Linked DNA regions of Schizosaccharomyces pombe. The protein of the gene in region 3 purifies or fractionates together with the protein of the main gene of each other region. This does not show direct contact. Each region holds a gene or a part of one and is shown on either strand. Other genes may lie near its edges. The genes, in order: elp4, kap109 and ekc1.

Region 1 (6,985 bases), 160 kb from region 3:
TAAGTATCATCATTGAGAACTACAAATAAATAGTCTCTATCTAATCCTGGAGGGCGATATGGGCGTATATGTTTCACCGTAGAAAATAAAGGGATAGAGGTAAAGAATTGTAAGCCATGAACCTCACTACAGAGATAAATATTAATTTTTAAGGCTTGTAATAAAACTAAGCAGTTTTCAGATGATATAAAATGACATGAAGTCGCTGTGTCTACCGCCGTTGCCCAGAAGGAATGAACACATAAAGCCATACACGATGAAATCCATAAACTGATATAATAAAAGGAATAAAGACTTTTTTTAACAAAGAAAAAAATAAAAAAAAGAAGCTTTGAGTTGGTTCAAAAGATTATGACTAGACTTATGTGATTAAAAAACAGTTGAATACAAAAATAAAGAGTGGACGGCCAAGAGCCACAAAAGCCTAGAAAAAGGAATTCAAGATAGAAAAAATATGCTACCAAGTGACAATCTCTATCAAATCCTTACCAAAAAATTTCGATTTTGAATGAAAGTGCAAGACGCCAGTTACAGGCACTCCGCAGGGAGAAGAAACGAGATATGCAGTCTCTATACATTTTGCGCAAGCGAATTTATTGTAAAAGTTGATATGCATTTTTTAATATCAGATACTACACAAAACATTTTCTGATAATCATAAAACATAAGACATTTTCAACTTGCATCTTAACTAAGCCAAATTCTACATCAATGTTATAAATTTTAGCATTAGCCATATTGGGGGAAATCGAAAGCTATTGATATTTTTATAATTGCAAAACGATTTGATAATGTAGAGAAGATATTGGAATATGTTACTCTCATCGATGAGCAGAATTAAAAGCTATGGGAGATAACGACTATTGCTATTGAAAACAAGAACTAGGCACGCAAAGAAATATATACCTTCTTTACTATAGTGCATGGTATTAGAGTTACTTAAAAGATTATTTTAACAACTTGCCGATCACGAGGTGATTCACAGATTTATAGCATAAATGAAAACCTACGGATGTCTAGCAATAAAGTTAGGATTTTACTGAAATTCGAGTCGACAACTAAAACATAATATTTTTGTAGCATCGCTTTGAATGATTGAGCATGTAAATATTTAGATATAATTGAAAGCATAGAAATTATCATAAATGATTTTCTTTAGATGCTGAAAGTAATAGCGTTTTTTCTATACCAGTTTAGTGTTCGCGTCATCCATAAATACCGAAGTAAAATCAAGCTTAATATAAGCGAGATTTACGAAGGTTGGACTAAAGATTAGTTTCTCGTAGAAATGGTCATGAACTTTTGAAAGGTCTCTTAAACATAAAATAGTTTTTTAAAAAACTTTCTATATTACTTTTTACCAAATCCAATTACTGCTTTCATCAGTACTCCTTTTTTTTTAAAATGGAAGCGTTTTGACATATTTCGTTCATGATACGCTCAACTATTAGGAACATAGTAAATTATACTACAAATTCACTATCTATACAATGATAAGTATCGTTGAACGTTACATATTGGAAATCAACAGTCAAGCATTGTTTACTGATCACCGAGGAAGAATTTCATGATTATCCTCAGATGTACTCAGTCAAGAATATGATATTAAAATTATTCTCAATATTTAGCTTTAATTAAATATAAGCTATTTAATAAACCAATTTATATGTAAATACCATTCAAATCACCTACATAAATATCTATAGGAACATATCTGTAGATCAGTATCCAAAACGCCGTATAATGTCAGCTACGCAGTTTGGTATCTGCTTTAACGATACGAAAAACTGGTGAATTTTGCATATGATCCATTATATTATAATAGCCGGGTTATATAAGTAATGACTAAGTACTGGTATTGTACTATTTAGGTTATAATGTCACCTATCACTTATAACTGAACTGCGAAATGAGGTTTAGTTGTATCTCTATCGATTCTATCCAAATAATCTATCTGTTAATATAGTATTATCAATATCAATCTCGACATCGCATCATCTACGTTGCGTATCACTATATGTCACATGTTCTAATTATATATCGTACCATGTATGATACGATATTGAGATTGATCTTAATGATAATCTATTAAGATCTATATTATCTGAATAATATAAATAGAGCTACTGCTGAACCTCGTTCCTCAGTTCAGTTATGAGCTATATTAGTGATAGGTAACATTATAACTCAGTTAATACAATACCTATACTCAGTTGCTACTTATACAACCTGTGTATTGTAATATAATAGATCACAAGGAAAACTCACCGCAGTTCTACGTATCCTTAAATCAGATACCAAATTGCGTAGCTTACAATTTAATACAAAAAGGCATTGCCCGTTATTTGATTTTGTTGGATATCCTTAAAGTATGGAAAAGATGTTGCTACTAAGCAAGAGCGTCTAGCATCTGCGAATATGGTGGAATCGGATTCTTCGGGAATCGTTCGACATTCTCAAGGAGAATTTGACATCGTCCAGGTTTACAAAAAATTTTTGCAAGATGATCCAGAAATCACGATGCCTGTAGCCGCCATTGAGGCTTTAGTCCAGCTTTTGTCGCGCTCTCAAGGTATGTTAATTTGTAGTACTCATGTGAGAAATGAATTTACTGATGTTTTTCTATTAGCCAAGACAATTTCAGAATTTATGGACATTTTACAAAATGGCTCAAATACGCTGAAGGAAGGCGTTCAAAACAACATTTCGCTTTCAGCTGGTTGTGACATTTTCCAACGGTTTGTCACTCGATCACTACACGATGTCGGGGTATGTGTTGATGCAAAGTAGTTTTCTTTTCTTTACTAATTCTCCACGGCTTTAGGATTTTGAGCAATGCAAACGTCACTTGGTAGAAAATGGAAAACTCTTTATTCAGCGTGCTCGTGCTTGTCGACAAAGAATTGCACATTTAGGTTACCCTCTTATTCGAGATGGTAGTGTTATTCTTACCCATGGGTTTTCACGCGGTGTTGCGGCTGTTCTTTTGGCTGCTGCCAAGCGTCACGTTCGTTTCAAAGTTTTTGTCACAGAATCAAGACCTAGCGGCTCAGGCTGTCTAATGACGAGAACATTAAAAAATGCTTGTATTCCTACTTGCATGGTTTTGGATTCCGCTGTAAGCTTTACTATGAACCGTGTAGATTTGGTCTTGGTTGGCGCAGAAGGTGTTGTCGAAAACGGAGGACTCATTAATCAAATCGGTACTTTCCAACTTGCCGTTTTTGCCAAACATGCACATAAGCCCTTTTACGCAGTTGCAGAAAGGTACGTAAACGTTGAATCCATTCAGCTTACAATTATTTTTCCCTATGATCTCTCCATTTCCCTGTTAATTTTAAAATTTGTACTAACGTTTTTTAGTCATAAATTCGTGCGTATGTTTCCCCTTTCTCAATATGATATTCCCTTTAGTCGTCCTATTCTGGAATTTGATGATCCATCTCCTGAAACTGTTCATCCTGAACCTGAACCAATTCCAACTCCATCAGATGCTATTCATAACGAGCTGATCATGAATGAAGAACAAATTCGAAATAATCCTACTTTGGATGTTACACCACCCGAATTTGTCTCAGGTCTCATTACCGATTTAGGGATCATTGATTCGAAGAGTGGGGTAAGCGAAGAGCTAATTAAATTGTATCTTTAGCAATCAGATTCTCCTGATCTTAAAAATAAAATATGAATAGATTGTACTTTGAGTTGACTTAAATTTCTCATAAGTCTTGTCCAACTAGATTCGGATTGAAAGTAATCTTCAAAAATACAACAGTAATACATTTTCCGATCATGCTAATTGACTGTACGACGTAACATTTTCTATGTTATTTTGTAGTATTACAATATTATTTTTGTTTCAATGCGCCCACTAGTGAAATTTTATTATTAGTTCAACAAAATTTATCTAAAAGGTATTTTTATTGAATGATTAACTTTAGTCAACAATTTTTTATTTTCTCAATCGCAACGCTGAATTTCTTTGTTTTCTGACTGATGATGCTTAAATGTGTGCTGCAAATTTGCGTCGCGTTAACCTTTCCATCCAATTTGCTATTCCACGTACACCAATCGAAATAAGTATTGATGTCGTTCAAAAGGAAAGCAGCACCTCAAATAGCACCAACAAACTTGCCGACAGGCGTTAGACTATCTTCAAAGGATGCTAGATGGATTACAAGCTCTGGGAGTTCTTCTTTTGACTACTATTTGTCTGGCGGCATTCCAATGAAAAGTTTGCTGGTTATAGAGGAAGATTCGATGGATTATGCTTCTGTGCTACTTAAATTTTTTGCAGCGGAAGGCCTTAAACAGGACCATGTTATTTGGCTTGGTCCATCTATTGGAGAGATGTGGTTTCGTCAACTTCCAGGCGACAGCGACCGGCCTAATAAAAACGAAAATTCAGCTGGAGAGGATAATCATTCTTCTCCTCCCTCTAAAAATCCCCAGCAAGAAAGAATGAAAATTGCCTGGAGGTATGAACAAGTCTCCAAAACCAAGGCACCGACCCTTGATATGATTCCTCCTGGCTATACTCACTCCTTTGATTTGTCAAAGAATTTGATAGTGAAAAGCGATATGAAATACGCTGTTTCTCCATTCCCTTTGGAAACAGGGTCTAATCCTTACGCCCCTGTCATTGAAAGTCTAACGAGATTCTTATCTACTCTGACTCCAGGTACGGTATGCAGGTTAGTTCTTCCATCCATTTTGTCCCCAGCCTTCTATTCTATCCGTGCTACTCATCCGCAGCATTTCATAAGATTTATTCACACACTTTCATCGCTCATCAAATGCACTACTTCGGTGCACTTGATATGTATGTGTTCAGTTCCTTCTACTTTGTTTTCAAGAGATTGCGAGCAAATTTTTTGGCTAGAAAACCTTGCATCCGCCGTATTCTCTTTGCATCCTTTCCCGGTCAAAGAAACTGTTAACGGTTTAGTTACACAACCATTAGGACTTTTCCGTATCCATAAGCTTCCCTTAGCACTTCCATTTACCAATCATGCAAACTCTAATGAAGCTGGAGACCTCTCATTTACTGTATCGAAAAGAAGATTTACCATTGAACCATGGGTCCTTCCTCCACTGGATGATGAGCAAAAGGATACGAAGATTTCAAACACGAATCCTCAAAAACAGCCTGTTAAATCTTTGGATTTTTAGACAATTAAAAAACCTCTAAGTTTCTGAGTATTGAATTGGATTAAAATTCTACTCGTTTTCGTGTTATGTGATATGGTTATGGTTTGTAAATGGATTTTATAATTTTTTTTGGATGCATTGCATTTGTGTTATTTATTGTTCATACGAGTTTAAATATTTTTCATTTCTCCCGTCTAGATAACTGATCAATTATCTAAATGTTCGTCAAATGGGATAAACGTTCTCTCAATCAAAACTTTAAAACACAAGTTAATATAGAATGCGAACTGAAAGCCGTCAAATATCTCTACGAAGAACCGTTACTGTGATCTTAAAGCAAAGTGCATGAAATACTTGTAAGTAAATGACATTTTAAATCTTAAACAGTGTTAAACCGTTGAAATTTGAAGGATACAATTATTTTCTCTATTAAAACAGTTCTGAAGTAAATTGTTGATGATTGTTATCAAAACATTGTCAATCTGTTGGTACTAACAGTATTTGACATCTAAGCAAATTAAAGAGACAAATCAAAAAGTTTTCGCGTATTCGATTTTTCTCTTTAATTCTAGTCGCATTATCTTTTAAGTCAAGTGACCAAAATTAATGTGATTATTCCAATAGTCCGTATGAATGGGTCCTTAAATTCGTCTCAATTTACTTTTTTTGCATTTTGACAGAGTTCACTATATAGTGATTTACCACCTAAAAATGTGCTACCTATACATTCGCTAGTTGTTAAACATTGAGTTGAATGTTCATAATCCACTACAAACGTTCATTCAATGTTTCAATTAAGTTAAATAGAGGTTCATTGATAAGACAGATACATATATTTAACTGAATTTTATTGATGTATATCTTGGGAACATATGCCATATTGAAATTGTTCACATCGCCATAGTGCGCTTTCAACCATCAACAAACAAAAGGCAAATTGGGCTGGTTTGATGAAAATATCCATCTTCAGAGTCGAAGTTATTTAATATCCAGTCTTATAGACAAAGAGACATTTTGTTAAGAAAAATAAGTGCAGGTGGCTAAAAATGGTTCGAAAGTATGGAATTTTCATCGACGCTGGATCTAGTGGTTCAAGACTTCTAATTTATTCTTGGGACTATGATACCGATTCCTCTTTAAGTGATAAAGTAAAAAAATTACCATTAATCGAGACAGGGATTGGGGATGGTGGTAAATGGTCTTTAAAGGTTCAACCTGGAATTTCTTCCTTTGCCAATAACCCTAAGCATGTAGGGAAGAAGCATTTGAAAGAACTCCTGGATTTTGCTGCTCATGCTATTCCCAAAGATGTACATAAAGAAACTCCGGTTTTCCTAAGTGCTACAGCTGGTATGCGTTTACTGGGCGTTGATGCCCAAAACAAAATACTTTCGCATGCTTGTAGATATATTAAAAAGAATTACGATTTCGACATACCTAATTGCTCAAATTCAATCCGTGTAATTGATGGCAAAGCTGAAGGTATGTATGGTTGGCTAGCTACGAACTATCTCCTTAAGACACTTGAAGAAAAAGATACGTCAACGGTTGGTTTTTTAGATATGGGCGGTGCGAGTGTGCAAATTGCTTTTGAACTTCCCCCATCTCAGCTCAAAAATTACAAGGATAGTATTTCGACCGTTCACATAGGACTACAAAATGGTCAGCAATTGGAATATCCTTTGTTTGTTACTACCTGGCTCGGTTTTGGCGCTAATGAAGCTTACCGCAGGTATTTGGGACTGTTAATAGAAAGCGAAAACGGAAAAGTTGGCAACACTTTAAGCGATCCGTGTTCCTTGCGTGGACGAACTTATGATATCGATGGGATCGA
Region 2 (8,714 bases), on a different chromosome or scaffold from region 3:
TCAAGGCACTGAGTTGCAACGTCAATCAACGCATCAACTACATCCTGGCACTCACTTAACGGAAACATCCATTTTTGATCATTTGTTAATATAAGTAAAACGTTCATTGCATACGTTATTTCTTTTTCCAAAGTAGATTGCAGGCTCATGCACAAGGCTTGAATGTTTACAGTCCCCAGATCTACGATTGAAGGCATCTGAAGCCGAAGCAAAGATTCATCGAGCCTATACGTGGCCGCGACATTCAAGGGATAACCCAACATAGGATCGATGGGCTTTTTTATCGGTTGATAAGCAACGGGTTCGGCAGAATCAACAGGAGCTGCCGAAGAAGAAGTTTGAACGGTGGGCGGAGTGGGTCGAGTCGGAGCAGAAGGGTATGGTGGAGCATTTCTTTCAGAACTAACTGTGGTAGGAGCAGCTGGAGAGAAACGATTAGCGGTGAATGCTGGGGAGGGTGACTTTGAGTGAAGTGATCCATGCATAGAACCATTGGCATGTACAGCTTCTGGGGTGGTTTGGACCGGCTTTTGTGGATAGTTTTTTGGTCTGCTTTGAACATTCGCAGAATGATTAGCTTTTGCTTGTTGAAGTGATTTTTGTTGCTGTTGAGCAGCAAGCCATGCTTCTTCATATGGAAGCAGATAGGAATTGTAATATTGAATTAGAAGGGAAATAGCATCAGGAGATGGAAACCCCAAGGAAGCAGAAATTTTTGGCCAAAAATTATGAGCTGAGACTTGTCGAGATCCACCGGCACGCATAACCAAGGCGTACAGCATCATTAAATTAATAGGCGTATTATTTATTTGAGGATAAGATTTGATTGGCGTCCCCCGCTTTTCCATAAAAGAAATAAGGCTAACCATGAATTTGTCAAAACTAGCAGCATAAGCAGGCGTTAGTTGATTAGCATTACCAGAGGGAGTATTTGGGGAAGGTGCAGGTTGAGGAGTTTGTCTTACAGCTGGGTGGGCATTGATGCCAATTTGATTAGGAGGAATTTGTTGAGAGAGTAAGGCCTCTCTGCTTTGCATTTGTCGTTGATAAAGTTGTTGCTGCTGTTGCTGTTGTTGTTGCTGCTGCATTGCAGCCTCTTTTTCTTGTTGAAACGGGATCCGACTTGAAGGCATCATGGGACTAGAGTATTTCACAGATCCAGAGCCATTCCATGCACCGTTAGAGGCGAAATCAAATGATTGATTTGGCAAATTACGTTGAGTTGATGGAGATTGTCGGAAGGGCTGTGAATGAGCCAAATTGTTAGGCTCATTCTCGGAAGTATTCATCATGTTTGCATTTCCATATTCTGCTGCATACATCCCTTGGCTTGTCGAAAAGCGTTGAGGATACGCAGGTTGTTCTTCCTGAGTATTATAACTTTGACCTTGCGTGGGATATGATACTGCGGTTGGATAATCACTCGCAGGAACAAACCCTTGATTATTCATGATTCCTCATACTAAATCAAACAAAGAGTAAAGGGACCTTAAAATACACGTTTCAATATATTAACGTCTAAGGCGCTTGGCAGCTGAAAGTGCTTGAAAAGCAGACGAAGTGCATATAACGAGTTGTTTAGTGCTGCCTTTAAGAACCTAATCTGTGTGTTTCAGAAAATGCTTAAATTCCTAAAAAATCTTTACACTCATTCCTTTAAATCTCGCAAACGTGATTTCTTGCCTTTGCAGTGTCTCTTATTTCCAAGTCAATGACAATTGTTAGCATTGGGAAGCATTTATCGATTAGTCAGGTATCTAAAATTTTAAAAACAAAATAATATCTTATTCCTCTTGTAATAGAAACAATATTTATTAACTTGCTCTGTTAGTAGACTTGGCGAAACTGTAAACAATCACGAGTACAACATCTTCTTCTTGCGGAAACAGATATTTTTTTAATAAATTATTTTTTTTTTTTTTAAAATAGTAAAAGCATATGAGTTAACATATTCGAGATCCCGTTATCCTCCTTTTCTTTCTTTTTTTTTTTTTTTTTTTTTTGAAAGGAGCAATCAAAATTGACACATTAATTCAAATTTATCTGGTCTAACCTTTTTTTTATTTTTTATTCATTATTTTTCCTTCTTTCTTTCTGGCTACATAAGACTCGACGCAATGTCATTTTATAAATTTCATTGTTTTCTATAAACGTGCTTTCATATGTGTAAACCTATTGATGAATGAAACAAGATAGTAGAATATGGTAATTTCTATTATCAAGCAATTGGATTTAGGTTGTTGAACTCTATGGACAAGGGCTTGTACGTGTAAAATATATATGTTTATGACTTAATTATTTACTTTTGCAAATCTATGGTTTCAAGTCAACTCGCAAAAGGAATATCCGATTCAAGAAGGAAAAAAACTAAATACTACAATAAAAAAAGGTTTGTAGTATTTGAGATAAAGATGGAGATGCTATATTGCACATGTAGAATTTGATGGCATAAACAAGAATTAGATTTGAAACAAAAGTCAACTAACACAACTTTCAAGTCCACGTATAAAGCGATTTCTATTCTGACGGTTCATAAAATGTTTAATGAGCTTGCAAACTAAAACCAAGTAATTCGGAAATTAGGTATTTACAAGCTGATAATTAAAATGTGAACCCTTGAATTATTGATAATGAATTATAGATTTTATTAGTTTTAATTCCTTTTTTAAGTAATTTATCAAGTATAGTCCAACTATTTATTTACAAATATTGGTATATTAGGGTGTTTTAATAGAAAAAAAAACAAAAATTAAGCGAAGAAAAGTATTACATTAACAAGCCTGAAAAAGAAGCAAACAAACTAATTAAAAGATGTTAACTATATCAAACTTAAGAGAAAATTATTTAATAAATAAAACCGGAATTAAAAATTCTCTATAACGATGTTAGAGAAATTGTTCTAGTTACGTCGGTGTCCTTCAAAATCTGCCCTTAACCACAATCCCTGTAGGAAAACTATGGATGACATTCCAACTCTTCTTGCGAGAACATTAAACCCTACGACTTCCAAAAGTGGTAAGATACCCCAACAGAGTGGATAAAGCAAATTTACTAACTGATATAGCTGAGGAAGCACTGAAAGTATGGGAATTACAAGATAGTTCTTTTGCACTAAAACTCCTCAATATTGTCGCTGAGGATACAGTAGACATCAATATTAAGCTGGCCGCTTCATTGTATTTCAAAAATTACATTAAAAAACATTGGGATTCTGAGGAAGGTGCTTCTATTCGTATCAGCGATGAGGTGGCAGAATTGATCAAACGCGAAATAATCAACTTGATGCTGAAAAGTACTACCATTATTCAAGTTCAGCTAGGTGAAGTAATTGGTTATATTGCCAACTTTGATTTCCCTGATCGGTGGGACACTCTTCTCCCCGATCTGATATCTAAATTGTCTGCTGTTGACATGAACACGAATATTGCTGTACTTTCTACTGCACATGCGATTTTTAAGCGCTGGAGACCTTTATTCCGTAGCGATGCACTTTTTTTGGAGATCAAATATGTGTTGGATCGTTTTTGCGAACCATTTCTCGCTCTCTTCGTGCAAACCAACAACTTATTGCGTAACGGTCCACAAGATGCAGAGTCTCTTAACAGTTTATTTCAGGTTATCCTTTTGGAGTGTAAACTTTTTTATGATTTGAATTGCCAAGACATTCCGGAATTCTTTGAAGATCATATGAGCGAATTCATGACCGCCTTCTTAAACTACTTTACCTACACTAACCCCAGCTTGGAGGGTGACGAAGGAGAGACAAATGTCCTTATTAAAGTTAAAGCAAGTATTTGTGAAATCGTCGAGCTATATACCCTTCGATACGAAGAGGTGTTTACCATGTTGTATGACTTCGTCAACGTAACATGGACACTTTTGACAACCTTGACTCCTGATGAAAAATACGATGGTTTAGTTGGTAAGGCTATGGCATTTTTGACATCCGTCATTAGAATTCGCAAGCATGCCGAGTTTTTCCAGCAAGACCAAGTTTTACAACAATTCATTGAACTCGTCGTTCTTCCTAATATATGTTTGCGGGAATCTGATGAAGAATTATTTGAAGACGATCCTTTAGAATATGTCCGCCGTGATCTTGAAGGTTCGAACAGTGATTCTCGCGCCAGATCCGCAATCGTTCTTGTTCGTGGACTTTTGGATCACTTTGATCAAAAAATTACGAGTGTAGTCTCAACTCACATCAATGCTAATCTTCAACAATTCTCAACAAATCCTTCTCTTGAATGGAATAAAAAATACGTAGCGCTTCAGCTCTTTTCGGCTATTGCTATAAAGGGTCAATCCACAAGACTCGGCGTTACATCTATTAATTTGATGGTAGACGTTGTTGCTTTTTTCGAGAATAATATTAAGCCGGATCTTTTACAACCTGCTGGCGTCATTCATCCCATGGTTCTTGCCGAGGATATTAAATATGTATTTACATTTCGCAACCAGCTAAATTCCCAACAGCTTATTGACATTTTCCCTACAATTTTACGCTTTTTGGAAATGCCCAGCTTTGTCGTTTACACATACGCTGCAATAGCATTAGATCAGTTGCTGACTGTTCGTCATAATCATGTTCATATCTTTACAAGTTTACTAATTGCTCCACACATATTACCCGCTCTAAATCAACTTTTCCTAATTGTGGAATCTGCATCCACACCACAAAAACTTGCCGAAAATGATTATCTAATGAAAGCAGTAATGCGAATTATTATTATGTCTCAAGAAGCCATTCTTCCAGCTGCTAGCCTTCTTCTTCAGCACCTCACAAAAATTACGGAAGAGGTTAGCAAGAATCCTTCCAATCCAAAATTTAACCACTATCTCTTCGAATCTATTGGTGCACTTATTCGTAGTTTATCTAAATCTGGTCCCCAAACCGTCTCTCAACTGGAAAATGCCCTACTTCCAGTCTTTCAAAATGTGCTTATAGAAGATGTTACTGAGTTTATTCCGTATGTCCTACAACTGCTATCTCAATTAGTTGAAGCTAGTGGCAATGAACCTCTTCCTGACTTTGTTGTCAATCTCATACAGCCGTGTTTATCTCCAGCTTTATGGGATTCAAAGGGTAATATACCTGCCTTAGTTCGCCTATTACGGGCAATGATATTTCGTGGTCCTCAGATATTTATTTCCAATAAGTTTGTTGAACCGGTTTTGGGAATTTTCCAAAAATTGATTTCTTCAAAGGTTAATGATCATTTTGGGTTTGATCTCTTGGACCGAGTTTTCACAGTTTTCAATGCTAACATACTTGCGCCTTATATCAACCACATATTCTTTTTGCTGTTAAGCAGATTAAAAAACTCGAGGACTGAGCGTTTCGTTCTGCGATGCACGATTTTCTTCTTTTTTGTTGCTTCTGAGCAAACGGGTACTTGCGGCCCAGATAATTTGATCCAAGGTGTTGATGCAGTCCAGTCTGGAGTATTTGGCCAATTGATGACTTCAATTATTCTTCCTCAAGCACAAAAATTGGCGCTTCCATTAGATAGGAAAATCAGTGCTCTTGGATTACTGCGACTTCTTACTTGTGATCTAGTACTCGCCCCAGACGCAATTTATGAGAATCTTATTATCCCATTATTAACTTGTATCCTCAAATTATTCGAAATGCCTATTGAACAAGCTCAAACAGATGCAGATGAAGAATTGTTTATGGACGAAATCGATGCTGATTCGATGTCATTCCAAGCTTCCTTTTCCAGATTGGCTACTACTGGCGGAAAGAGGGTTGATCCATTCCCTCAAATTACTGACCTTAAGCAGTATTGTGCTACGGAAATGAATCTTGCTAACAGAAATATGGGTGGACGTTTATCTCAAATCATTAGCACGCATCTTCCTGGCGACGGTCAAAGCGTGCTTCAATCATATGGTTACGTGATCTAATATTTATGAAATGAAAATCATCAGAAATCAACTTTCTTGATGTTTTTGTTTAAAAATTTGGGTGTAAATTTAGAAAATAAATGTTTTCATAGAGAAGCATTTATTAAAAATTGTATTTGGTTGTCAAATATTTTTTAAATGAGATTCATATCATTATTTTATCCTATTATATAGTGAAAATTAAGTCGAGAGTTATAAATTTGTAGATTGGTTTTCTTCGCTCGAATGCATATCATACATTGGCATATATACCTTTCGTAACCATGCCTCTTTTGCTGGGTTGTAATATGTATGGCGAAGTAGTCGAATAATAGTTCCTGGTTTAATCCCTTGAATGCGTTTCAGTTGACCAATTGTAGCTGGACGAATCGTCTTCAGCAGCATTAATTCTTCAGCCGAAACAGAATGTAAAGTATCAAAATCAAAATCTGAGGGTATTACTGTAGATTCATCTCTACAATTGAGTTGTTTATTTTGAGTACCTTGACGCTTTATATAATAAGTATACTTTCCCTCAATTATTAAACGTTGTAGTACCCTTTTGGGAATGTCCTTTAGTTTAGGAATGCACGAAATAACACAAAAAAGATCCAAATTTGTGAAGCTCAACAGATCCCAAGCACTTCTATATTTCCCGTCATTAGGAATCGGCATTCCTAGCTTTGACCATTGCTGAGGACTTAAAATGAACTCCTTGGCGATTTTATTGGAAAAATCTAACAAAGATTTAGTTCTTTGAAAGCTTTCCCAATGAGTTTGGTCGTCCAATAAACCTATACTTTGAGCTAATGGAGTCAATCTTAAATCAGCATTATCAGCACGTGTAGTTAACCTATACTCGCTTCTCGAAGTGAACACCCTATAAGGTTCTTTCACACCTTTTGTAATAAGATCATCGACCATTACTCCAAGCAAAGCTGTATTTCTCGGTATGTCTACTGGCTCACGACCAAGAGCACTTAAACCTGCATTTAAGCCAGCTAAGATACCTTGCGCTGCTGCTTCTTCATAACCCGTCGTTCCATTTATTTGACCGGCCAAGTACAAACCCTGAATTTTTTTTGTTTCCAGTGTTGCCTTTAGTTGGGTGGGGATAACATAATCATACATAACTCCATAAGCTGGTCTCACAATATTACAATTCTCCAGGCCTGGAATAGACCTTATTATATTGTGCTGAATTTCTTCAGGCATTGAGTTACTGAGACCATTGGGATACCACCAAGAATTGGGGTCCAATCCTTCCGGTTCCAGCCAAATAAGATGTCTTGCTTTGTGAGGGAATCTTGTAACCTTGGCTTCCAATGACGGGCAATACCTTGGAGAAAGAATATCACCAGCAAGCATATGGGGAGCAAAAGCGAGATTTTTCCTAACAATTTCATGCGTCAATTCAGTTGTATAAGTTCTGTAGCAAGAACGTTGTGGCAATGCCGGTGAAAAATCCCTTTCCAAATTTAAAAAACTAAATGTTTCTGGAATTTCGTCACCTGTCTGCTCTGTCATTTTTGATATATTTATGGGAGAGCTCAATCTGGGAGGTGTACCTGTTTTTAGTCGACCCATTTTAAAACCTAAATTGCTAAGACATTTACTCAAAGGCAATGAAGGTCGCTCGCCATATCGACCAGCAGCTAACTGTGTTAAACCAACATTTATTTGTCCTCCTAAGAAAGTACCAGTAGTAATGACTATACAACTGGCAGGAATAGCAGTGCCATCTTCAAGAACAATTGAATCACAAACTTGTTTACCATCGTCTTCTGTCAAAACATTAATAGAGACGGCCGCGCCTTCTCTAACTTGAAGATTTTTTCTATAAGTTGAAATAGTTTTTTGCATATTTTTTTTGAAGACCGACCGATCCATTTGTGCTCTGGGACTCCATACAGCTGGTCCATTCGATCGGTTCAACATGTGAAATTGAATTGCTGATTCATCGCAGACACCACTGACAACACCACCCAAGGCATCTATTTCTCGCATTAGTGTTCCTTTTCCAATCCCACCGAAAGCTGGATTACAGCTCATTTGTCCAATATTGTCGAAGGACTTTGTTAAAAGAGTAGTTTTCGCACCTAATCTAGAAGCAGCAGCAGCGGCTTCCACGCCAGCGTGTCCACCTCCTATCACTACGACATTCTTCCGGCGATTGAAGGAGGTGCAGAAATATCGCTTTGTTGTTCGAAACATTTGTTCACCCCAAATAAACTATTTCAAAAACATACATAAGGACCTTTTGTTAAAGTACCGACAAAAAAATGCACAAAATATATTTGAGTTATGCGTAAAGGTTAATGATAAATTTGTTGTTGAGGTCTTGCTGAAATAAAACGCTATATAGTCGGGAAAGAGCTGTTAAAAAGCACAGTCAATCAAAAATTCTAAAATTAGTGGAAAATAGACATTCAGGATGTCAGAAGTTTGTAATTGAATCTATCAACAGATTAGGCAATGGTTGTAATGCTCCTAAGGTTAATCAGACTAATTTACGTCTGAAATCTGAAGATTTAGAACAAATATATTACAACCTTTTTATTATTTTTCCTTTTTTAAAAACTATGAATATCTGATTGCAGAATAAACGAATTTAAGAAAATACTTTTTTTTTTTCAAGCTTGTCGTCACTTGTGAGTTTGAGAATATTCGGGCAAATAAAAGTAAACCGGCTCTATTAGTATGAATTATCAATCCGCGCTTTTATTGCTCAGTACAGAAATTCAGAGGTTGAGTTACATGTAAAAACCAAGATTCGTAACCTTACTACAATAATCAAACCAATTCATTATAAATTGCATTCATAT
Region 3 (8,957 bases):
CATTCTTGCAATAATGGATATGCAAAATCCCATATAAACATGTCAAGTAGCATTGTAGAATGCTTTTAAGTAACACACTGGTCAACAAATTAAATGATAACAAAAGAACGAGATAAAAATATACAGTACAAAAAGTTGGCAAATGATCGACCATACTTAAACTTCCAAATTAAAGCATTATGATTGCAAAGTTACTCCATTGCGTTGAATATTTCGTGAAAAGAGATTTTGAGAAAAGCGCTTCGCGACTATTGACAGTACCAAGCAATAATGAAACTAAACTAGGTCTTCGGGACTTGTTTCATTCAATTGATTGTAGTTATTTTCAAACGCATTTTTTCCGCCACCAAGAGCTTAATATCGTTAATAGAAAATTCTTTGCAAGAAATATCTCATTATTTATAGAACATACATTTAATCCATGCCACGGTATTTATGAACAAATGAGTGCTGCATGATCTGAGTTGTACTGTATTATTAATATAACTAAATTATTACAATAACGAACCTGATTCATTTAAGCAAAAAGAGATGCATGATACAGGAGTGAGAATGCTAGATAATGTTGAGCATTTCCATCCCCATTTATCACCAGAAAGAAGAACTAAAAAATGTTCAATCGTTTTCAAAAGCCCATAGAAAACAAAAGTTTTTAAAAATGCACACACAATGTATTCCTTCTTGAAAGGGCTTATCACTTTTTTCAAAAAGTGCTTCACAGTCTTGGTCCAAGTTTCATAGTAGTCTGAAGAGTTAGTGAATGAACTGATAACATCCTCACAATTTGCTTACAAATTGAGCCGCTAAACAATATCACAGAGATTATACCGAATATAACCAAAAAAGCTATAAGGAAAGTGTGTGTGTGCTCAAAAGGAAGCACGCAACCAAGCACAACAATTGCAAAATAAGAATAATAAACAATACAAAAAGAGAACTTCAGAAGTAGACTATGGCTTGTGGGCGATTGCGTAGATCCTGTATTACTTTCGATGCTGTGATCTGGAGTTTCTGAAGCTTGAGACACAGGATTAGCGGACGTCAGAATATCTGAATGCATTAGTAAATGCTGAAACTTCAAACATTAACAGGAATTTATATTATATTTGAAAGAAAAAAAAAGCTCACCGCGCTTAGAATCGAAAATTTGAGTAAGTCGAATGTAACCAAATAATCACAAACATGTTATTTTTAAATAACATCAAGATACAGTTTTTACTATAATGTTTTCTTTCATATTAACAACATAACGTACCTGAATTTGAAGGCAATGTGCTTTTCTCCTCCGAATTGTGCTCTGAAGGTGGGCTTCCTTCCAAGTCAATTTCATGTCCTGCCTTCAATCCCATTTCTTCATCTAAAGAGCTGCTTAAGGAAGTATAATTATTGCTCATCTTATTAAATGGAGGTAAGATATACTCAAAAATATACCAATTGCTGGGATTGCGACAAACGTAAGAGCTATTAAGAAAACCTCTTTTATCAACAATTCAATGTAGAGCGGCGATCAATAGACCTCTAAAAAAGAACTAACTGTTTCTTTTAGCTTCTCAACTAGTATCAGAAAAAAAAAATCTTTCAAAACCCATCTCTAAAATGCGATTTCCTCTTACATACCCATTTTGTCACTGCTCCTTTTATAACGTGCAACGAAAATACTATTATTAATTTTATGTCAGCAATACTACACTACGCTATGATACACTACGTTGCGTATCACTATATGTCATATGTTGGAATACTAGCTAAGATCCGTTTATTGATAATCACGGGTAACTATTCGTCTATATACATAGATACCCGTTGATAACAACTATTTAGAAATATTATAAATAGAGTTACAACTGAACTGAGGAACGAGGTTCAGTTATGAGCTATATTAGTGATAGGTAACATTATAATCCAGTTAATACAATACCTATACTCAGTTGCTACTTATACAACCTGTGTATTGTAATATAATAGACCACAAGGAAAACTCACCGCAGCTCTACGTATCCTTAAATCAGATACCAAACTGCGTAGCTTACATTTTATATCAATTAGCAAACTCTAACATATTTTTAGGTACGACTTTATTTTGCACTATTCAGTAAACAACCAAGAAATCATTGTGTGCTTAATGAGTTAAAAAGAAATATCCTATTCACATTGACTGACCAAAATTAAAAATTAATTTAGTAGCTAATAAAGGAGTTTATACGGTCCGAAATGGAATGAGTTAACCATTGTTGAATTTCAGCTTCGTCTGTTGGTCTAATAATTGGTATATCAACCGTTATTGAACTATTTGACTAGGGAAAAAAAAGTAATCATCAACAAATACATTCCCATAACAAACAAAGAATTCTGTTGCTTTCATGATTATCATAAACCGGATCTTTGAAAATTAATCATATGAAACTGCTGATATCCAGAGACTTTAATGTGCTTTCAGCGTATTATACGAATGAGGAGCCAACCCCATAGATGAACAAATAAGAAAACTTTCTTTTAAATAAACATTTGAATATCGTAAACATTTTAACAGCCCTTTAGCAAATGTTTGAAAACATTAAATCACCGCAAAGGGTCTTCCTTTACAGTCCAAAAACTACAACACTCAACGAAAGATGTTTTAAAGGTGTCGACTGGCAATTAAGACAAATTTTTAAAAAGAAATAACGCAAGCAAGGGTGCTTCACGCTATTATGATCTCATTAGTTTTATCAAATTTGACAATTCTAAAGAGGAAGATTATTAGCAGATAGTAATCGAAATACAAACGCTTCTTTCAATATAGAATCGTTTGAATACACATGTAGCATATTAAACCTTTTCCAAAAAATAACGGATAACATTCTCAGCATTGCATTTGTTCAAAACTCATTAGTTTCTATTTAGGATATCTAGTTTGGTAAGTGAGACGAATTGGAAAATGAACATCGAGATTGATGAATTTAGCAGCATACCCCTAATAGCAAATAAGCAATCACAGTACTTATTAAAAACTCTAGTGAATAAACCAGGATTTTCTTGTAAAGTTAGCATTTATCAGAATTTTGAAGAACGAACCAATTTCAATTATAAAATATGCCACGTTTAGCATAACACCAATGACACGCTCCACCAACGGGCATCCCAGTCTCCATTGCTCAAAATGACTTCTAAAAAACATAAGGAGGGGAATGGCAAATGCATTAACAAAAGTCAACTTGAGAATAGCATATAGCATATTTACTCCCCGTTTTTGGGGAAAAGATCTTATACCTGCTCCGCAAGCGACAATAACTTCCTTGATACTCCTGAACCATGTTTCATATGTTGCTATAGAATTAGCAGCTGCATACTGATAGTAATCACATAGTCCACTTACCGAGTAAAAGCCACATCGAAAATATGTTAATTCCACCATTTCCCAATCCAAATAGCACCCGATCTTTAGTTGAAAAGTTTGCAAACACGAGATATTTAAACAAAGCAATATTTATTACGAAAACAGGAAGAAGTACTGCTGGAATTTTTGTCGACCAAGCCGTACGAGTATCAGCAACCTTAGAAGCTTCCATCACTTTATGATCAGCAGGTCTGGAAGTTTTCACTTTTACGTTAAAATTGCTATCTTTTTGAATATGAAGTTCTTTTTCTTCCCAACGAGGGTATTTTTCTTACCTAAAGACTGAGGTATAGTGGCTTCCTCGACCACAGTGTATTGTGAGACCTGAGTTTCGTGCTCGCCTTTTCCACGTTTAGGATTCAATTCATCCAAAGAATCCTTAGCCAAATGATGATTGTTTTCCATAATGAGCGATAAAAAGAGGTTGATCAAAAAATGCGCCGGTTGATATAACTGCGTAAACAAACAAGCAAGGTCCTTTCAAATTATCGCAATTTCAGATCTTACAAAGTTATACTAAGCAGAGAATTACAAAATTGAAAAATTTCGAATCAATTGCTTAAAACAAAGAATATTCAAAAATAGGAACCAAAAAGCTGATTTAGGAGGTAGATTACTTCTAACATCCGCATTTTAAGAAGACTAGCAGTATTCCTAAGTTACATTATATGCTATAACGAACACTTTGAAGCAATCTTATATCTGGAAATGCGAAAAATAATACAGTCAATTGATCGTCAGTAAATGCATTATCGATACAGATTAGTCCTTGCCATGGATTGACTTCTGCAGTATAGGAGAGTTAAGTTAACTCCTATTTAGGAGCTTTTATAACCGTAAATAAAATACTCTTTTAAAACTTTTAAGCTAAAATTTTTCTTTTGTGAAATTATCTGCTAAGGATATCTACCGATTTACAACGTGATACTTATAGATTTCGCTAACAGAAAACTGGTGAACTACTGTAATGTCAACTTCAGTATATCGAATAATACAGTACGTTCCGTATCGTTATATATCACATGTTCTGTTATCTATCCGCTATCTTATGATACAACATAGCACAAAAAGATTTGCTGATTTTTCCAAAAGAAAGTTTTAGATTAATAAACATACTCTAGATAGAGCCTAGCTGGAATTCGTTAGTACAGTTAAGTATTGAGCTTTTTCAGTGATTAGCTGCCAAACGTCCCCTTTGTATAAGAATATCAGCATTACCTGTTACCCATATTACCTGTGTATCAAAATATAATATGTATCAAGCAACCCCACCACCGTTTACCATATCCCTAAATTTGATTGCAACACGCTATTTCCACGGTATAATTGATTGCGCATTACACTAGAATAGCCAATGTTTTTACATCGCTTCCTAAAGCCGCAGTAAAGAGACAATTGGCTTTCCCCCACCTCTCCATATGGAAGAACGAACTACGTAGGATTCACCATTCACACTTATCTGCCCTTCGCCAACAGCTTAAAACCGCAACTGTCTGTTTTGGAAGTAGTAATAGAGGAAAAACTTCAAAATTGAGACTCTTTGATACTCATATTTAAAACCGCAGACATTGATTATCTATACAGTGAAGGGCACGGCTCAAGAGTACCGCCGTAAAACAAGAACGCAAAAGGGGAAGCCTTTACCTAAGAGCTTCGCCGTTTAAGCCTTGGGAAGTATAAACATAGCTTTGACTTACATACATTTTAAAGGAAGTGATAGAAATGTTTTGGAGATTGGGCCAGGGATTTGGATTTCAAAGCTCAAGCGCCATTGAGGCGATTTTGGATAAACCGGAAGATGAGATTAATTTAAAGGAGTTGTTAGAAGAGAATGGGGTTTTGGACGAATGTAAAAGCCACAACCCCAAACTTTTAGAATACCTTTGCAAGCCGGAAGTACTTAGCCAGCTGATTGATTATATTTTGGAGGTTGACGAAACAGAGATACCTTCTGCCGATGGTGGTTATGAAGAGCCGGAACATACCAGACTTTCCTACATAGCGAGTGAAATCCTCAGTAGCGACGTTTGGTCCATCTGTGAGGCTTGTGTGGAAAATAAGACATTGATGGTGAAACTTTGGTCCTTTTTGGATAGCGAGGGCCCATTAAACCCATTGCAAGCATCATACTTTGCAAAGGTCAATGAACATTTTCTGGATAAAAAAACCGAAGAAACGGTTGCCTTTATCCAATCTATTGATAACTTTGTAGAAAAGATCCTCCGTCATGCGGAAACAAGCGCAATCATGGATCTGTTGCTCAAATTCATTTCAATGGATCGTTGCAATACTGCTATTGGAATTGCTGACTGGTTGTATTCGCAGGGATTAATACAATCCTTACTGCGTCTACTTAGCCCATATGTGGATCCCGACGTCCAGTTTACTGTTGCTGATGTTATAAAAGCAATTATCGCTATTTCTGCCAATTCTAATGAACCCGGAGTTATTGGACCTAACTCCCTTTCACGAGAACTAGTATCCAGACAAACAATAACTACACTAACTGATTACATGACCGATTCTAAAGCTCCTCACTCTGCCACTTCTCTTATTAATGGCGTCAGCATCGTAATAGAACTAATTCGTAAGAACAACAGTGACTACGATGTTACACCCGTTTTGCAAATGCCTCTTGACACGCATCCTCCTACTACCCGTGATCCTATTTACCTTGGGACCATGTTGCGTCTTTTCGCCGAAAAAATTCCTGTCTTTCAAAAAATCCTCCTTAAACCTTCCACCGAGTCCGACCTCATGCCCACCAGTTTTGGTAAGATCAAGCCTTTAGGTTTTGAACGTTTCCGAATTTGTGAACTTTACGCCGAGTTGCTTCATTGTAGTAATATGTCCCTTCTTAGCGATCCTAATGGTGAAGCCATGGTAATGCAGCGTGACCATCTTCGTGATTATCTTTTCCGCCATAATAGCTGTGCACGTGATCTTGTCATGAGCGACGAGGACGATGATGATTCTACTTTTTCCGATAAAAATTCTAAAGATTTTAAGGAAACTGAAGACATGAACGGGGCTGAAGATATGCACGGTCGTGCTCCGCAAATCACTAAGGATAACCTTAATTTGACTACTACTGATTCCCCAATGTCCGAGGCTGAACCCGTTAGTGAAGAAGAATACAAGGACGTTATGGAAACCGCTAAAGCACTACACCATGGGGACGATGATGCGGCTTCTGATACTTCTTACGAACCCCTTCCGGAAAGTGTTATTGAGGATGCTAAAAAGCTCCCTGTTATTGGCGATTTTCTAAAGATTGAATTTATTCAAAATAATGTAATTCCGACTATTCTTGATCATTTCTTTGATTATCCTTGGAACAATTTTTTACATAACGTTGTATATGATGTTGTTCAGCAGGTGTTAAATGCTCCTATGGACAAAGATCAAAACTATGCACTTGCCGTCGATATGTTTAAACAAGGGAAAATCACTGAAAAGATTGTGTACGGCCAAGAATTGAATGATAAAAAGGTAGCTAAACCTAGCGGATTTCGGGCTGGATATATGGGTCATCTAACCATAATTGCTGACGAAGTTGTGAAGTTTGTAGAACATTATTCTTCTACCTTTGATCAGGAATTGCTAAATCTTATCAATGACGAAAAATGGCAAAATTTTGTAAATAAGACGTTAGTAGAAACGAGGAACCGTGATAATCAATTATTAGGAGGCTTGGAACCCTCGATGGTGGGCTATTTGGAAGACATGGACGAAGGAGAGATGTTGGACGCCAACAATTTACCTGAAATGCAGTTTGCGCTGGAGCAAGAATTGGAAAGCAATAGCAGTGATGACGATGTCGTGGAAGTTCATCGTGAGCTATCGCATAATTCGTCTTCTAATGACGAAGATGATGGTAATGATGAAGACCCGCTGTCTCGTGAGATGTCGCGACGACTTAGTTTTGAATCAGCTAACGATAGTGATCAAGACAATCGCGATCATTTTGCTCAGTACATGTCTCAGCAAATATCCGATAACAACGCCAATCAATTTAGTAGTTCTGATGAGGACGACGATGACGACGATGAAGTTGTTGAATGGGTTTCGCGCGGAAATGAAAACAAGTATCCGCGATCTAATTTTTTTATTAACGGTTCAGATCGAGAAGACTTTTCAGACAGTGAAGAAGAAGATGGTAATGACAGTTCTGACGATGATCGCGGTTTTGCAGAAGAGGAGTACTCTGATGGTCTGGTTCTCGTAAGTTATAAGTTTGCTAATCCTTGTATGGATATGTATTTTACTAACAGCATATAGAACCATGGTAAATAGTTCTCATTTTCCTCTTAAATTTTTTAATCTTAGCAGATTAGACGTCTGTAACTAATATCTAGAAGTTCGAGTTCAAAATCTTTGCTGAACAGCATTAGAGGCTGGAAACTACTATTTAGTATAGTTTGAAGGATGCGTTACTACGTGAAGTTTTAACAACCTCTAAGATGCATTTTCTTCATCTTTACCTTGTGGTTTCTACTATTTTATTTTAGCTTCGTACTGTTAAAAAGAAAATGTACTAATATTTTGTCATGCATTCACTTCTTCGTTTTAATCGGTTTTTCTCTTCATTCTATTTTATTTCTATCTCTACAATTTCATTTTAAGTCCGTTATGCTATCTGGTTTATAACACAGTTGACAGAAATATGAATTGATCAATATTTTTTACTGATACCAATTCTGCTATGCCATGGTGGAGATAAGACAAACAATTGATAAAACAAGGAAATGCCGTTGTTGAAAAAACGCATTTTTTAATTATCGAGATATCAGTTTCGCAAGCTGTTTCAAGAGTACAATTTCTCTTAATAAAGTAATGTAGATAGCGTTGATTGTACTGTGTAATAGAATTCATAATATTCAAGAGATAAAGACGGAAGGGAATTGTGAAAAGTGTAACAAATGAGTATGACTAAAAATGTAAAGTAGTAATGAACAAGGTCGGGGGATTCTAATTCTGGTAAAGAACAACAGATAAAATACAATGATAAACCATAGACTTCTAAAACACCTAAAAAAAACAATAACTATAAAACGTTGGCAAATTGAAGTAATTGTATCGATTGATCCCTGCATAAATTGATTACAGAAATCACTTCATATTTACAATGCCAACTAATAAACAAACAATGAGTTGAGATTAATAGCGGCGACAAGGCAATACCGATTCTCCAAACATGGGTTCATCGGGTCTCCGAACAACGAAATGCTCATCTAGCCAGTCCATGACACTAGCAAAACTATCTTTCGGTATAGTCATTCTTTCACGCTTAGTAGTCATTTGCCCCATCATGGTAGTCAAATGGTGATAGAATAAATGGAAATTTAGAGAATAGGATGTAGAATACCAAAGAAATCGCTCCACGCAGCCCCAAGGCGTTTCTTCATATCCAGCGAAAAGCGCAGGGTTTTCTAACAAACCACGAGCAGACATGATGCCTTGGGTTTCTGTATATTTAGCAATCTCAAGACCCTTACGGAGACTTTTAACATCACCATTTGCAACGACAGGAATTTGGACACATGGGCGAACTTCTCGAATTGCATCCAAATTGACAGGG

What was found.
Region 1: the proteins of ekc1 (region 3) and elp4 purify together in Schizosaccharomyces pombe (affinity purification with mass spectrometry, with the first as the bait; one study listed by BioGRID). This does not show direct contact.
Region 2: the proteins of ekc1 (region 3) and kap109 purify together in Schizosaccharomyces pombe (affinity purification with mass spectrometry, with the first as the bait; one study listed by BioGRID). This does not show direct contact.

The regions. Positions count from the first base shown.
Region 1 is NC_003421.2:1,461,440-1,468,424, reverse strand, and holds elp4 (elongator complex subunit Elp4), read left to right. Parts: upstream 1-4,034; 5' UTR 4,035-4,086; coding exon 4,087-5,172; 3' UTR 5,173-5,439; downstream 5,440-6,985. Other genes in the region: CLRC ubiquitin ligase complex WD repeat protein Rik1, read right to left, coding at 1-251; translation initiation factor eIF2B alpha subunit Gcn3, read left to right, coding at 2,419-2,572, 2,630-2,769, 2,825-3,267, 3,364-3,652; nucleoside diphosphatase Ynd1, read left to right, coding at 6,198-6,985. UniProt on the Schizosaccharomyces pombe protein: Component of the elongator complex, a multiprotein complex which is required for multiple tRNA modifications, including mcm5U (5-methoxycarbonylmethyl uridine), mcm5s2U (5-methoxycarbonylmethyl-2-thiouridine), and ncm5U (5-carbamoylmethyl uridine).
Region 2 is NC_003423.3:1,310,274-1,318,987, forward strand, and holds kap109 (karyopherin/importin beta family nuclear export signal receptor Kap109), read left to right. Parts: upstream 1-2,933; 5' UTR 2,934-2,957; coding exon 2,958-3,015; intron 3,016-3,064; coding exon 3,065-5,910; 3' UTR 5,911-6,102; downstream 6,103-8,714. Other genes in the region: SWI/SNF complex subunit Sol1, read right to left, coding at 1-1,451; ips1 (GIDA family tRNA uridine 5-carboxymethylaminomethyl modification enzyme), read right to left, coding at 6,103-8,103. UniProt on the Schizosaccharomyces pombe protein: Export receptor for importin alpha. Mediates importin-alpha re-export from the nucleus to the cytoplasm after import substrates have been released into the nucleoplasm.
Region 3 is NC_003421.2:1,625,262-1,634,218, reverse strand, and holds ekc1 (protein phosphatase regulatory subunit Ekc1), read left to right. Parts: upstream 1-4,844; 5' UTR 4,845-5,098; coding exon 5,099-7,600; intron 7,601-7,657; coding exon 7,658-7,672; 3' UTR 7,673-8,232; downstream 8,233-8,957. Other genes in the region: wtf element Wtf15, read right to left, coding at 277-353, 413-469, 509-745, 793-1,050, 1,256-1,394; wtf element Wtf14, read right to left, coding at 2,869-2,888, 2,952-3,014, 3,055-3,306, 3,356-3,580, 3,652-3,781; tRNA dihydrouridine synthase Dus4, read right to left, coding at 8,537-8,957. UniProt on the Schizosaccharomyces pombe protein: Has a role in chromosome segregation. May provide a dynamic connection between kinetochore microtubules and kinetochore chromatin.